Linked DNA regions of Rattus norvegicus. The protein of the gene in region 2 interacts with the protein of the main gene of each other region in a pairwise test. Links are inferred from orthologs where the notes say so. Each region holds a gene or a part of one and is shown on either strand. Other genes may lie near its edges. The genes, in order: Hes6, Tle1 and Foxa2.

What was found.
Region 1: the proteins of Tle1 (region 2) and Hes6 interact in binary tests that used the Homo sapiens proteins (3 or more experiments, as listed by UniProt). The link is inferred for Rattus norvegicus from reciprocal best matches to the Homo sapiens genes TLE1 and HES6.
Region 3: the proteins of Tle1 (region 2) and Foxa2 interact in a two-hybrid assay, tested with the Homo sapiens proteins (2 studies listed by BioGRID and IntAct). The link is inferred for Rattus norvegicus from reciprocal best matches to the Homo sapiens genes TLE1 and FOXA2.

Annotation. Positions count from the first base shown.
Region 1 is NC_086027.1:99,448,813-99,452,151, forward strand, and holds Hes6 (transcription cofactor HES-6), read right to left. Parts: upstream 2,285-3,339; 5' UTR 2,188-2,284; coding exon 2,107-2,187; coding exon of another isoform or gene 2,031-2,106; coding exon 1,944-2,030; intron 1,864-1,943; coding exon 1,782-1,863; intron 1,544-1,781; coding exon 1,119-1,543; 3' UTR 571-1,118; downstream 1-570. UniProt on the Homo sapiens protein: Does not bind DNA itself but suppresses both HES1-mediated N box-dependent transcriptional repression and binding of HES1 to E box sequences.
Region 2 is NC_086023.1:90,978,486-90,982,230, reverse strand, and holds the start of Tle1 (transducin-like enhancer protein 1), read left to right. Parts: upstream 1-1,302; 5' UTR 1,303-1,412; coding exon 1,413-1,436; intron 1,437-2,074; coding exon 2,075-2,175; intron 2,176-3,493; exon of another isoform or gene 3,494-3,499; coding exon 3,500-3,563; intron 3,564-3,662; coding exon 3,663-3,707; intron 3,708-3,745. UniProt on the Homo sapiens protein: Transcriptional corepressor that binds to a number of transcription factors. Inhibits NF-kappa-B-regulated gene expression. Inhibits the transcriptional activation mediated by FOXA2, and by CTNNB1 and TCF family members in Wnt signaling.
Region 3 is NC_086021.1:155,923,593-155,927,337, reverse strand, and holds the start of Foxa2 (hepatocyte nuclear factor 3-beta), read left to right. Parts: upstream 1-849; 5' UTR 850-971; coding exon 972-1,058; intron 1,059-1,518; exon of another isoform or gene 1,519-2,067; coding exon 2,068-3,378; 3' UTR 3,379-3,745. UniProt on the Homo sapiens protein: Transcription factor that is involved in embryonic development, establishment of tissue-specific gene expression and regulation of gene expression in differentiated tissues.

The DNA.
Region 1 (3,339 bases), on a different chromosome or scaffold from region 2:
TCAGGCCCAAGGCACTTTCACAGCAAGCACTCCCTCTCTTTACAGTGGCACCAGGGGAAATGCCTACCAAGAAAAGTGACAAGTGGGTCCACCAGTTGGCTCAGCTAATAAAAAGGCTTCCCAAACAACCTGAGGACCCAAGTTTGATCGTGGAAAACCAACCCCCAAGTTATCCTCTGACTTTCTTATATACGCCTATACGCGCATACAATATTTTTAAAAAGGAAAAAAAATGGCATCCTGAGAAAGATTGACATCTGCACCACACTCATGAACCTGAGGCCAAGCCTTTGAGAGACACTTCCAAGGCAAAGAGCTAGTAACTAGTCACCAATGGTAGTCCTGGGAGCTCAGGAGAGAACAGTACAAGGACAGGCCATCTCCCTGTGGCTTAGTTACCCTGGAGACAAACCCCATGCTAGTGGAATCGTCTGGACACATACTCCAGGCCAAGTGGGAGAGCCCAGAGGACCGGGCCAGCAGGTGGGGCCACACGAATGCACTTAGTGTTGGATGCAGTTGAACAGTCACACATCTGACACAACAACGGCACACCAGGGGCGACTAACTCCAGAGTTCTTTATTTAATTGGAACATCCGACGGCAACCACATTCACACACACAACTGTTACAAACAGGGAGCACCTCTCAGTGACTGCGGAATATGCTTGCCTCTCCTGGTCTCCTAGCCAGAGTAGCAAATCTGAACTTCTATTCAGGTCAGGACTGCTATGGCCTGTGTGTCCCTGCCCAGGACACTCATGCTCAGCCTCAAGATTGGCCACTTCTGCCCTAGATCCTAGGGAAAGGTGAACATGAGGGAGTCCTGGTAGCACTACAGGAGTCTCCCTTCTTTCTGTAGTGTCCTCCCCCACCCCCACCCTGGCCCCCATCCAGAGCTCTAGGGTCCATGAAATTGATTCCCTCACAAAATAGTGCTAGGGACCTGCAGGGGCTGGTCATCAGGGTTACCATACAAGCCATCCATTCATTGGACAGTGGGGAAGGCATATCTGGGGGTTATCCTGGGCTATCTCCACCTCATCTGATAGCCAAGAAGGAAGCAAACTTAAGGATGGCAGCCCACCCACCATTCACAGGTCCCTGGTAAGTGTTGGTCACCAAGGTCTCCACACACTCTGGGCCCGGCGAGCTGTGGTCAGGATGCCTAAGGATGTGGGCACCAAATCTGGCCCCTCGGCAGGCACCCGGTTTAGTTCAGCCTCCGGGATCTCCTCTAGGTCAGAACACAGGTCGTCCCCGGGACCTGGGGGACTGGACAATGGGGACTCTGGGGACCCTCCTGGAGGCCAGCTGCTCCTCCCAGAGCCTCCGGGCAGCCCAGCTAGGGAGTCCCCCAGCAGATCCCGAAAGCTGCTACCCTCGCGCAGCGGCATGGACTCTAGCAGGTGGTTCAGGAGTTCAGCTGAGACAGTGGCATCGATGGCTTGGCACGTGGACACGAACGTGTGCACCTCATGCATGCATTGGATGTAGCCAGCAGCGAAGCGCTCGCTTGCTTCAGCCTGCAGCTGCTCCCGCTCTGTGCAGGAGGGTGGGAAGAAGAGAGCGGCATCCCGCACAGTGAGCAGTGACTACTGTGGTTCTGACGATCCGCTCCGCGGGTTCGGGGCTCACCCAGGAGACGCATTAACGTGTCCTGCTCTGGGGGGAGCCCTCACCATGTACAGGACCGAGGCTCCGGGAGCCGACGTGTCCGGCTCTTGGATGGCAGGCATGCCCGGTCAGCGCCCCCGCCCTCGATCCCCGCCGCCACTCACCGCGAGCCCGGCCTCGCAGAGCGCCCTGCACGCGTCGCACGGTCAGCTCCAGCACCTCGGCGTTCTCTAGCTTGGCCTGCACCTGCGCAGAGGGTAAAGGAGTTGAGTTCGGCTGTGTCCGGGGCGCACCCTGAAGACCCCCCCGCACTCTTTCCGCCGCACCTCGGTGCCCGCTAGCAGCAGCCGCAACTCCTGAAGACTCTCGTTGATCCGCGCGCGTCGCTTCTTCTCCACCAGGGGCTTCCGGGCCTGTGGGAAACGGCTACTGAGCCCCTGGCCCGTGCAGCCTCCCGCAGGCCCATCCACCCGCAGCCCCTGTCCGCACCTTGCGGTCCCCCCGTGCTTCCCAACGGTCCTCATCCTCCTGGCCTGCACGGTCCCTGTTGGGCGCCTGGGGCGGAGCCATGGTCCACAGCGCCCGGAGCCCGGCGCCCAGCGCCTTAGTGCAAACCCCTCTGCGAGGTAGGTCGCAGCCCAGAGGCCTCACTAGCTATCCCCAGTCTTCCGCCCCGTGGGGCCCCGCCCCTTTTATAGCAACTTATTTACATATCAATGCACCGATTGGCTGTGTGTGATCGGAGCGGCCAGCGCGAGGCAGCCTACAGCCAATGAGAGCCGCGCGCTTTGTTAGGCTCCGGGGGGTGTGAGGGGGGCTCTGGCAGCTGGCGGGGCGGAGCCCACAGTCCGACCTCCTGCCACTTACTCAGGGGTTGGACTCCTGGGCAGTGACCTCCGGCTACTCTCCTGCTGGTGTGCTTGTACTTCCCTCCGCCGAGTTTTGAGCCCCAATCTTCCAACCTGTAAGCCCGGGGTTAGCTATACATTCTTCGGTCCGTACATCTATCCATTCCTCCCTTTCACCCACCCCTTCACCCATCCATCCTTATGGCGCATTTGCTTCCCCTGGTTCACCAAAAGTGCTCTCCAGAAAAGCGCTCCAGTCCCAGAGCCGGTTTCAGTCAGGGCATTGCCAAAGTCAAGTCCATGCCCTCGGGACCTGGAAGGAGCTTCGGGTCACGGGTGGTGAGAGTGCAAAGTCCAGGGAAAGTGGGGGCCATTTTAGCAGCAGGACCAGGATCCTAGTGTGGTTTTTGAACTCATGAGGACACCTATAACTTTCTTACTCCAAGGTCCTCGGTCGTTCTTACTGAACCTCTCTTTCTCTGTGTTCTAAGTCACACAACCACTACCTTGTCTATTCTAGCTCCACCCCCGACCGCCCCCTTCCCCCAAGCTTCTCCTTCCTAGTTCATCACCACGTACCCGCCTAAGCTCCTCTTATTCCCCTCTAGTCCCTCCGCACCCCCATCCAGTGGTCTCACATATCCCTGTCCCTCAAGCCCACGCTCACATCCCTTCCCCGCGAGTCCCCTTAGTGTCCCCCACCCCCACTCAGCTCCTCCCCCTTCCATCCTTGGTTCCTGCAGGCCAAGGCTGCCGTCTGGCCCCGGTAACTTGATGCCCGTGACAGTTGGCAGCTGCAGCCGCTTCGGCAGAGAAAAGCGGCAGCCCGGCCAGGAGCGACAGGTGTTGGCCGCGCCTTTGTCTCGCTGGCTTT
Region 2 (3,745 bases):
ACAAGAAACCCCGCAGTTAGTCTCTGGTACTTTCACTGAGATTTTCTTCAAGGAAAAGCAGAGCGAGCCGCAGGCTTCTGCAAACTTCAGCCCCCTGCTTTTTCTTGCCTGCCGCGCGCAGGTCGCTCGGCTCGCGCGCACTGGCGCGCTCCCTAACTCGCCCCACGTTACTTTGATTGACAGCCCGGCCCGCCGCTCTCCTTCCCACCGACCTTCGGAAGCGGCTTGCCAATCTCGGCGTCTAGCCGCTCCCCATTGGCTGGCGTGGGTGCCCCGCAGCTCCTCGGGCGCCGCGGCACTCAGAGCGCACAGGACGCGCTGGCGGAGGAGGGGCACCGGCGGGTGGGCGGGGAAACAAGGCACAGAGGCCGCGCGAGGTGGGCGGAGCGAAGGCCAACACAGGCTGTGGCCGGCATGCGTCAGTAACCCACGTTGGAGCGGCGCACGTGGTTGGCCGAGCGGCTGCGGCTCCGCCCACGTCCGTGGCCGCCTGGGTGCTTGCAGCCCCCGCCACACTGCTCGGGCGGGGTGCTGGTTTGCTAGCGAGTGTGAAACCGCGTGTTAATGTAAGCGGCGCAAGAGGCGCGGGCGGCGGCAGGAGCAGCGGCGGGGACCCCGCGTCCCGGGGCAGGAGCCGGGACTCGCCTTCGACGTGGCCCTCTGTGGAGGGAGGCAGAGCGGCAGCGTGCTCTCCGTCGCGCGGACGTTTGCCTCCGGGTCGTGAGAGAACTTTGCGCCGGCTGGAGCTGGTCAGCCCTTTGCTTAGAGCCGAGGAGGGGAAGGCAGGCTCTAGGAGTGTTAGAGCCGGGTAAAGCGCCCGGCGGCCTGATGCCCGGGGCAGGGGCGCGGCGGGCGGCCAAAGAGCTGCACCGCGAGCAGTAGCCGTGGACTGGAGGAAGAGCGCATACTGGCGTGACCCTGCCTGGACCCTGCTTGGGCTCCGCAGCTTCAAGCCGCGCCGGAGACTCTGCAACGCCGGTCGACGAGCCGGGGGTAACCCGGAGCACACCGTCGTGGGAGCGGGTGACCTCCCGACCCGAGAAGCGGCGCTCGCCTCTGGCTGTCTACGTGGGTTTTAGCCAAGGCGCCACCTGCACAGCCGCCGACGCAGGGAGGAGACACACAGCCCCCCTGCATCCGTGAGCCACCGAAGGGAGCGCACCCCGGGCACCGGGTGGAGGGCCGCGGTAGGTCCGGGCGCCCCCGCTGCTCAGACTCCCAGGCGCGGGGCCGAGCCGCCCGCAATGTGGCCCTGAGGGCGGGGGCCGCACCCGTCGCGCCCTGGCCTTGCATCCCGAGCGCCCCGTGCGCCGGCCTGCTGCGCTGCTTCGCGTTCCTCGGTGGAATTCAAGTTGGAAGTGGCGCGGAGGATAGAGCTATCCCGGAACAGAGCCGCGGCTGCTGCCAGAGCGATGTTCCCTCAGAGCCGGCACCCAGTGAGTCGTCGGCGCGGGTGGGACCTTGCCCCGCGCGGGAGCCCAGGAAGCCCCATTTTCCCTTGCCCGCCCCCCCTCCTACTGGATGTCTAGACGGGCAGACGGGCGGACGGGCGTCGCGTAGTCACTGCCCGCTTATCCCGAGGCAGGAGTGATCCCTGCTTTGCCCTCGTCTTGCCTGTTTACTTGTAGTCAGTGCGGCCCGGTCACTCCGGGACTAGGGGCCGAGAGGGAGTTGGCATTTCATCTCCAGATCCTGGGTCTTTCTCGCACCGGTTGGGGAGGGGCAGCCGGGACAGTGGAGCTCTGACTTGGTCCTTCTCAGCCTCCTCCGGGCCGGGTGACCCCAGAGCACTGGGCACACACTGTCCACACTGGAGGCAGACTTATTTCTGAACCTCCTGAGAAATCAGGGTCCCAGGAAGATCTGCTTTCTCCCTCACTAAAGTGAACCGAGGGCTCGAGTTTGGGCCTCCGTTTTCCACCACCTCTAACTTTATTTATTTATTTATTTATTTATTTATTTATTTATTTATTTTTTGTTTATGTCCCATCTGCTTCTCCCTCTTCTGACTTTTCTGCTTTATGCCCTCATCCTCATATCTCCTCCCTTGGTTACCCTTGCTGGTCACCTGCAGACGCCGCACCAGGCTGCAGGCCAGCCCTTTAAGTTCACTATCCCGGAGTCCCTGGACCGGATTAAAGAGGAATTCCAGTTCCTGCAGGCGCAGTATCACAGGTGCGTGTCGACCTGCTCGGGTGGTGGTCACTTGGGGGGTCTCTTCTCACACAGGCCAGGCTGCTAGGGCTGTTGTACTTAGGGCTTGTGTCCAGGCGGTGGCGTGTGGAGTCACAGTTAAGTCCTGTCATTCACATTACCCCCCTTTCGTCGCTCTTCCTGGGCCGTCCCTTCTGTTGTCTCCTCCTCCTCCCATTGTTTCCCCTTTGCGCATTTGTGGCAGTTCCAGGGAGTCCCTTTTCGTGTATTTTGGAGTTGCATGAGAACCGTCAATATTTGCGCTTCGTTTATTTGTTTTGCAACAGGCTGAACTGAAACATGGGTTCAATCAATGGCTCAGTCCTAGAATGTGCGTTCAGGAAAGCAAAGCCGTGTTGCAATCGCTGTTTGCCATACTAGAAAATTGGGTTGCCTGAGACAAAGTCCATTAGGGAAGGCTAGATGGGTTTAGCTGTGCCCATCAAGGGTGATTAGGTGGTAAGATGTAGTTATGCGTGGCCCACACTCTGGGGTGTTTGGATAGACTAGGGAACTAGAATCACATTCACCTCTGTTCTGGGTTCTTTATGTAATCATACCTTCTTCTTTGGATTGGTTAGTGGAAATTATAGCTAAAAGCCCCATCTGTAGTGAATAGTCCAGAAAAGCTACTTATTTTTCTACTATGAGGTTTTGACTAATTGGCGCAAAGCAGTTTCTTCGAAGATTTTTACTTTTATCATGCTTGAGAAAAAGGACCAAGGAGAAGCTTGGTGGCTTGGGTGTGAATTTTCTAAAGTTAGTCAGGGACTCTGATTTTTGACCTTTTATCTACTTTTATACCGTATCTCCAGAACTTGAGGCATACTTGCACACACTGTTTACTGAACAGGGACAGAAGAACTTCAACCCACTTCGTTTGCTGTAGCTGCTTGTCATGTCTTGGCAGGGATTCAAAAGGTTTTGAAAGGCACTAGTCACTGAGAGGAGTAACTTTACTTACCAGTAAAGTTTTCAGACCTGAAGACTGTCTTTGCTGGAGAATGGGGGTTGTGCAAAGGACAGACTTTGGTGCGGTCAAGAGAGGGGAGGACAGCTGAGAGATCTGTGTTTCCGTTCTTGGCCTCTCTACGGGACGTGTGCCCCACGAACAAAAAAGGACAGTAGTTGGTGGATATTCCCCGTTGTTCACCTTTTCCAGCATGGAATACAAAGACAGCTTTTAGGAAGTATGCCCAGCTTACAACTTTTCTAAATTGTTTTTGCTTGAAGTGCAAATATGGGAGGCAGATGTTAAAACAAGTGACATAATGTTTACCTTAAGCTGCCTGTTTTGTTTTCATAGTCTTAAATTGGAGTGTGAGAAATTGGCAAGTGAAAAGACAGAAATGCAGAGACACTACGTGATGGTAGGTATCAAAGCGAGGAGGACCTTTTCTCTTTCTGTAATGGTGTGTGTCCTTCCCACAACCGTGAGTTAACGGCATGCCTGGTTCTTCTCTTTACAGTATTATGAAATGTCATATGGATTAAACATTGAAATGCATAAACAGGTAAGCTATAGCTAAATCTTAAGCTTCGAAATCAGTTT
Region 3 (3,745 bases), on a different chromosome or scaffold from region 2:
CGGCCAGCGAGTTAAAGGTGTGTACACAGTTTTTCTAAATAGGAAAGCGCTTTGCAAATTGGCTGTCACCTGCTTGTTGTTTTGACAGGGAATGTGCACCGAAAGGGAGGAAACCCGAGATAAATAAATCTGGCTTGCCTAGGCTTCGCTGGGCACCAAGGCGGTACGCGCCTTCGGATTGACGAACCCGGTGCTCCAGGCGATGAGGAGGGGCGGGGCGGGAGCAGGAGACCTGAGTTTCTCCAAGGGTGGCCCGATCCCAGATCTCTGGGTCCACGGAAGACTCCCCGTGGACGCAAAGGAAGGGACTCCACCAGGGCGCCAGCGCGCCTGCTTGCAGGTCCAGGTCTTGGGAGAGCAGGGGACAGCGGGAGATGGGCTAGCTCGGGGCGCCCAGCGGCAGGTGCGGAGCGCTAGCCCTGGCTTCCTCTCACCTAAGTGTGAGCTGATTATTCAAATGGGCTGCCCGGGGTCTGGGGATTGGAGGCCCGCGCCAGCGCACCGCGCTATATCACCAGCCGCTCACGTCATTGCGGCACTTGTCCGCTGCGAGGTCCACACCTCCTCCTCCTCCTCCTCCTCCTCCCCCTCCTCTCGCTCTCCCCCCGCCCGCCCCCGCGCCGCTAGCTTCCCGCCGCCTCCCGGCACCTCTACACTGCCAGCCTCAGCCTGCACCGGCAGCCCCGGGAGCGCGGAGACGGAGTGCACGCCCGACGGCGAGCCTCGGGTTCCGGCCTCCAGGGTTCTTCGGCCCCCTCCTCCGCCAGCCACCTTCCCGCCCACTCCCAGCTACCTCCCGCGGCAGGCCGCGGGAGAGAGAGGAAGTGGAGCCCAGAGAGGCAGAGAGGGGGAGCGCGAGAGAGGGCGGGAGGGAGGGGACGGTGCCATAGCTGACTTTTTTTTTTTTTAAGAGGGTGGGGGTGGGGGCTGATTGCTGGTCGTTTGTTGTGGCTGTTAAATTTTAAACCGCCATGCACTCGGCTTCCAGTATGCTGGGAGCCGTGAAGATGGAAGGGCACGAGCCATCCGACTGGAGCAGCTACTACGCGGAGCCTGAGGTAAGCTCTTGCCTTCGCCAGGGAGAAGTGGGGTGACAGCTATCTCCGCGTCCCCAGCCTCCGCACGCTCCCTTCACCGGTACCCGCCCCCCCCCACCTCTAGCCTTCCTGGACAGCCGCCTTTTCCGCCCTCCTTCTACTCAAATGGGTCTCTTTTTTATACGACACACTGTTAGCCTTGAGATAATATTAACTTTGTGATCAAATATTGACTTGCGGCGCCTCCAAATCCTCTTCGTGGCCGAGCCACGCACTATCCTAACAGAGTTATGTTTGGCAGCGCGCGGCTGGGGAGGGGTGGGAGGTCGGCTGGTGAGGGGGTGGGGAGCTGGAGAAGAGAAGGTGGGTAGGAGTTGGGGACAGAGGTGCAGGCAAAGAATCAAAGACTAGTGGACAAAGAGAAAAAAGTTTGTCGCCACGAAGCCGGGACACTAACAGTTCCTAGCCGAGTTGGCCGTACCTTCCTTATTCCTCCACGCAGTGCCTCCAGCTGCTCCCGGACTCTGTGCAGGCACTGCGCTTCACTCCCCTGTAACTAAAGAGTCGGGTCCCAGTATGAAGCCCCAGAACAGGGACACTGAGATGATTTCCACTTGAGACTGCCCTAGTGACGTTCCAAGGGTGGCTTTTGGCGACCAGGGGTAGCAACGGAGATTTCCGGCCTTGGTGCTGACTCAGTGTGCTAGCCAGCTGGTGTGAGGAGCCCCTAGGGAGAGTAAAATGGATTTGAGGCTCCTGACTTGTTGGCGATCCAGGACTCCAAAGTTCTAGAATGAGGGCGAGGCTGAGCCTCAGACCCAGAACGGCAACCCGCTGGCCCTCGGGCTACCACCTTTCCAGGACTCTCTGAGGCCCAGAGGACTTGGTGTTGGTGCACTGGGACCCAGGGAAAGAAAGAGATCCCGGAGGCCTGCACGAAGGCGGGGGACTGGGTGCAACCTATGGGTGAGAGGATCGGGCGAGCTCAGCCTAGGTGCTAACCTGTCTCCTCCCCGGGCTCTGTCCGCAGGGCTACTCTTCCGTGAGCAACATGAACGCCAGCCTGGGGATGAATGGCATGAACACTTACATGAGCATGTCCGCGGCTGCAATGGGCAGTGGTTCCGGCAACATGAGCGCAGGCTCCATGAACATGTCATCCTATGTGGGCGCTGGAATGAGCCCGTCGCTGGCTGGCATGTCCCCGGGCGCGGGCGCCATGGCGGGCATGAGCGGCTCAGCTGGGGCGGCCGGCGTGGCGGGCATGGGACCGCACCTGAGTCCGAGTCTGAGCCCACTCGGGGGACAGGCGGCCGGGGCTATGGGTGGCCTTGCTCCCTACGCCAATATGAACTCCATGAGTCCTATGTACGGGCAGGCGGGCCTGAGCCGCGCTCGGGACCCCAAGACGTACCGGCGCAGCTACACTCACGCCAAGCCTCCCTACTCGTACATCTCGCTCATCACCATGGCCATCCAGCAGAGCCCCAACAAGATGCTGACGCTGAGCGAGATCTATCAGTGGATCATGGACCTCTTCCCTTTCTACCGGCAGAACCAGCAGCGCTGGCAGAACTCCATCCGTCATTCTCTCTCCTTCAACGACTGCTTTCTCAAGGTGCCCCGCTCGCCAGACAAGCCTGGCAAGGGCTCCTTCTGGACCCTGCACCCTGACTCTGGCAACATGTTCGAGAACGGTTGCTACCTGCGCCGCCAGAAGCGCTTCAAGTGTGAGAAGCAACTGGCGTTGAAGGAAGCAGCGGGTGCGGGCAGTGGCGGAGGCAAGAAGACCGCTCCTGGGACACAGGCTTCTCAGGTTCAGCTCGGGGAGGCCGCAGGCTCGGCCTCTGAGACTCCGGCGGGCACCGAGTCCCCCCATTCCAGCGCTTCTCCGTGTCAGGAGCACAAGCGAGGTGGCCTGAGCGAGCTGAAGGGAACACCTGCCTCTGCGCTGAGTCCTCCGGAGCCGGCGCCCTCGCCTGGGCAGCAGCAGCAGGCTGCAGCCCACCTGCTGGTCCCACCTCACCATCCTGGCCTGCCACCAGAGGCCCACCTGAAGCCCGAGCACCATTACGCCTTCAACCACCCCTTCTCTATCAACAACCTCATGTCCTCCGAGCAGCAACATCATCACAGCCACCACCACCATCAGCCCCACAAAATGGACCTCAAGACCTACGAACAGGTCATGCACTACCCTGGGGGCTACGGTTCCCCCATGCCAGGCAGCTTGGCCATGGGCCCAGTCACGAACAAAGCCGGCCTGGATGCCTCGCCCCTGGCTGCAGACACTTCCTACTACCAGGGAGTGTACTCCAGGCCTATTATGAACTCGTCCTAAGAAGATGGCTTTCAGGCCCTGCCTAGCTCTGGCCACTGGGGAGAAGGACAAGGGAAATGACAGGCTGAGTGGAAACATTGGGGGAACTTTGAGGAAAAAGTAGCCACCACACTTAAGGCCCCAAAGGAGCAGTTTCACCTGTCTGTGTCCCTAAATAGCTGGGCCACACTGATCTGTCATTCTAAATAGGGAAGGGAATGGAAATATATATGTATACACATAAACTTGTTTTAATGGAGCCTTTGGTTCCCACTATGTAGACTACTGCTTCTCAAGGCACCTGCAGATTTTGATTTTTGTTCTTGTTCTCTCTCTATTGCTGTCGTTGCAGAGAAGTCTGACTTAAAAAAAAAACAAACTAAACAAA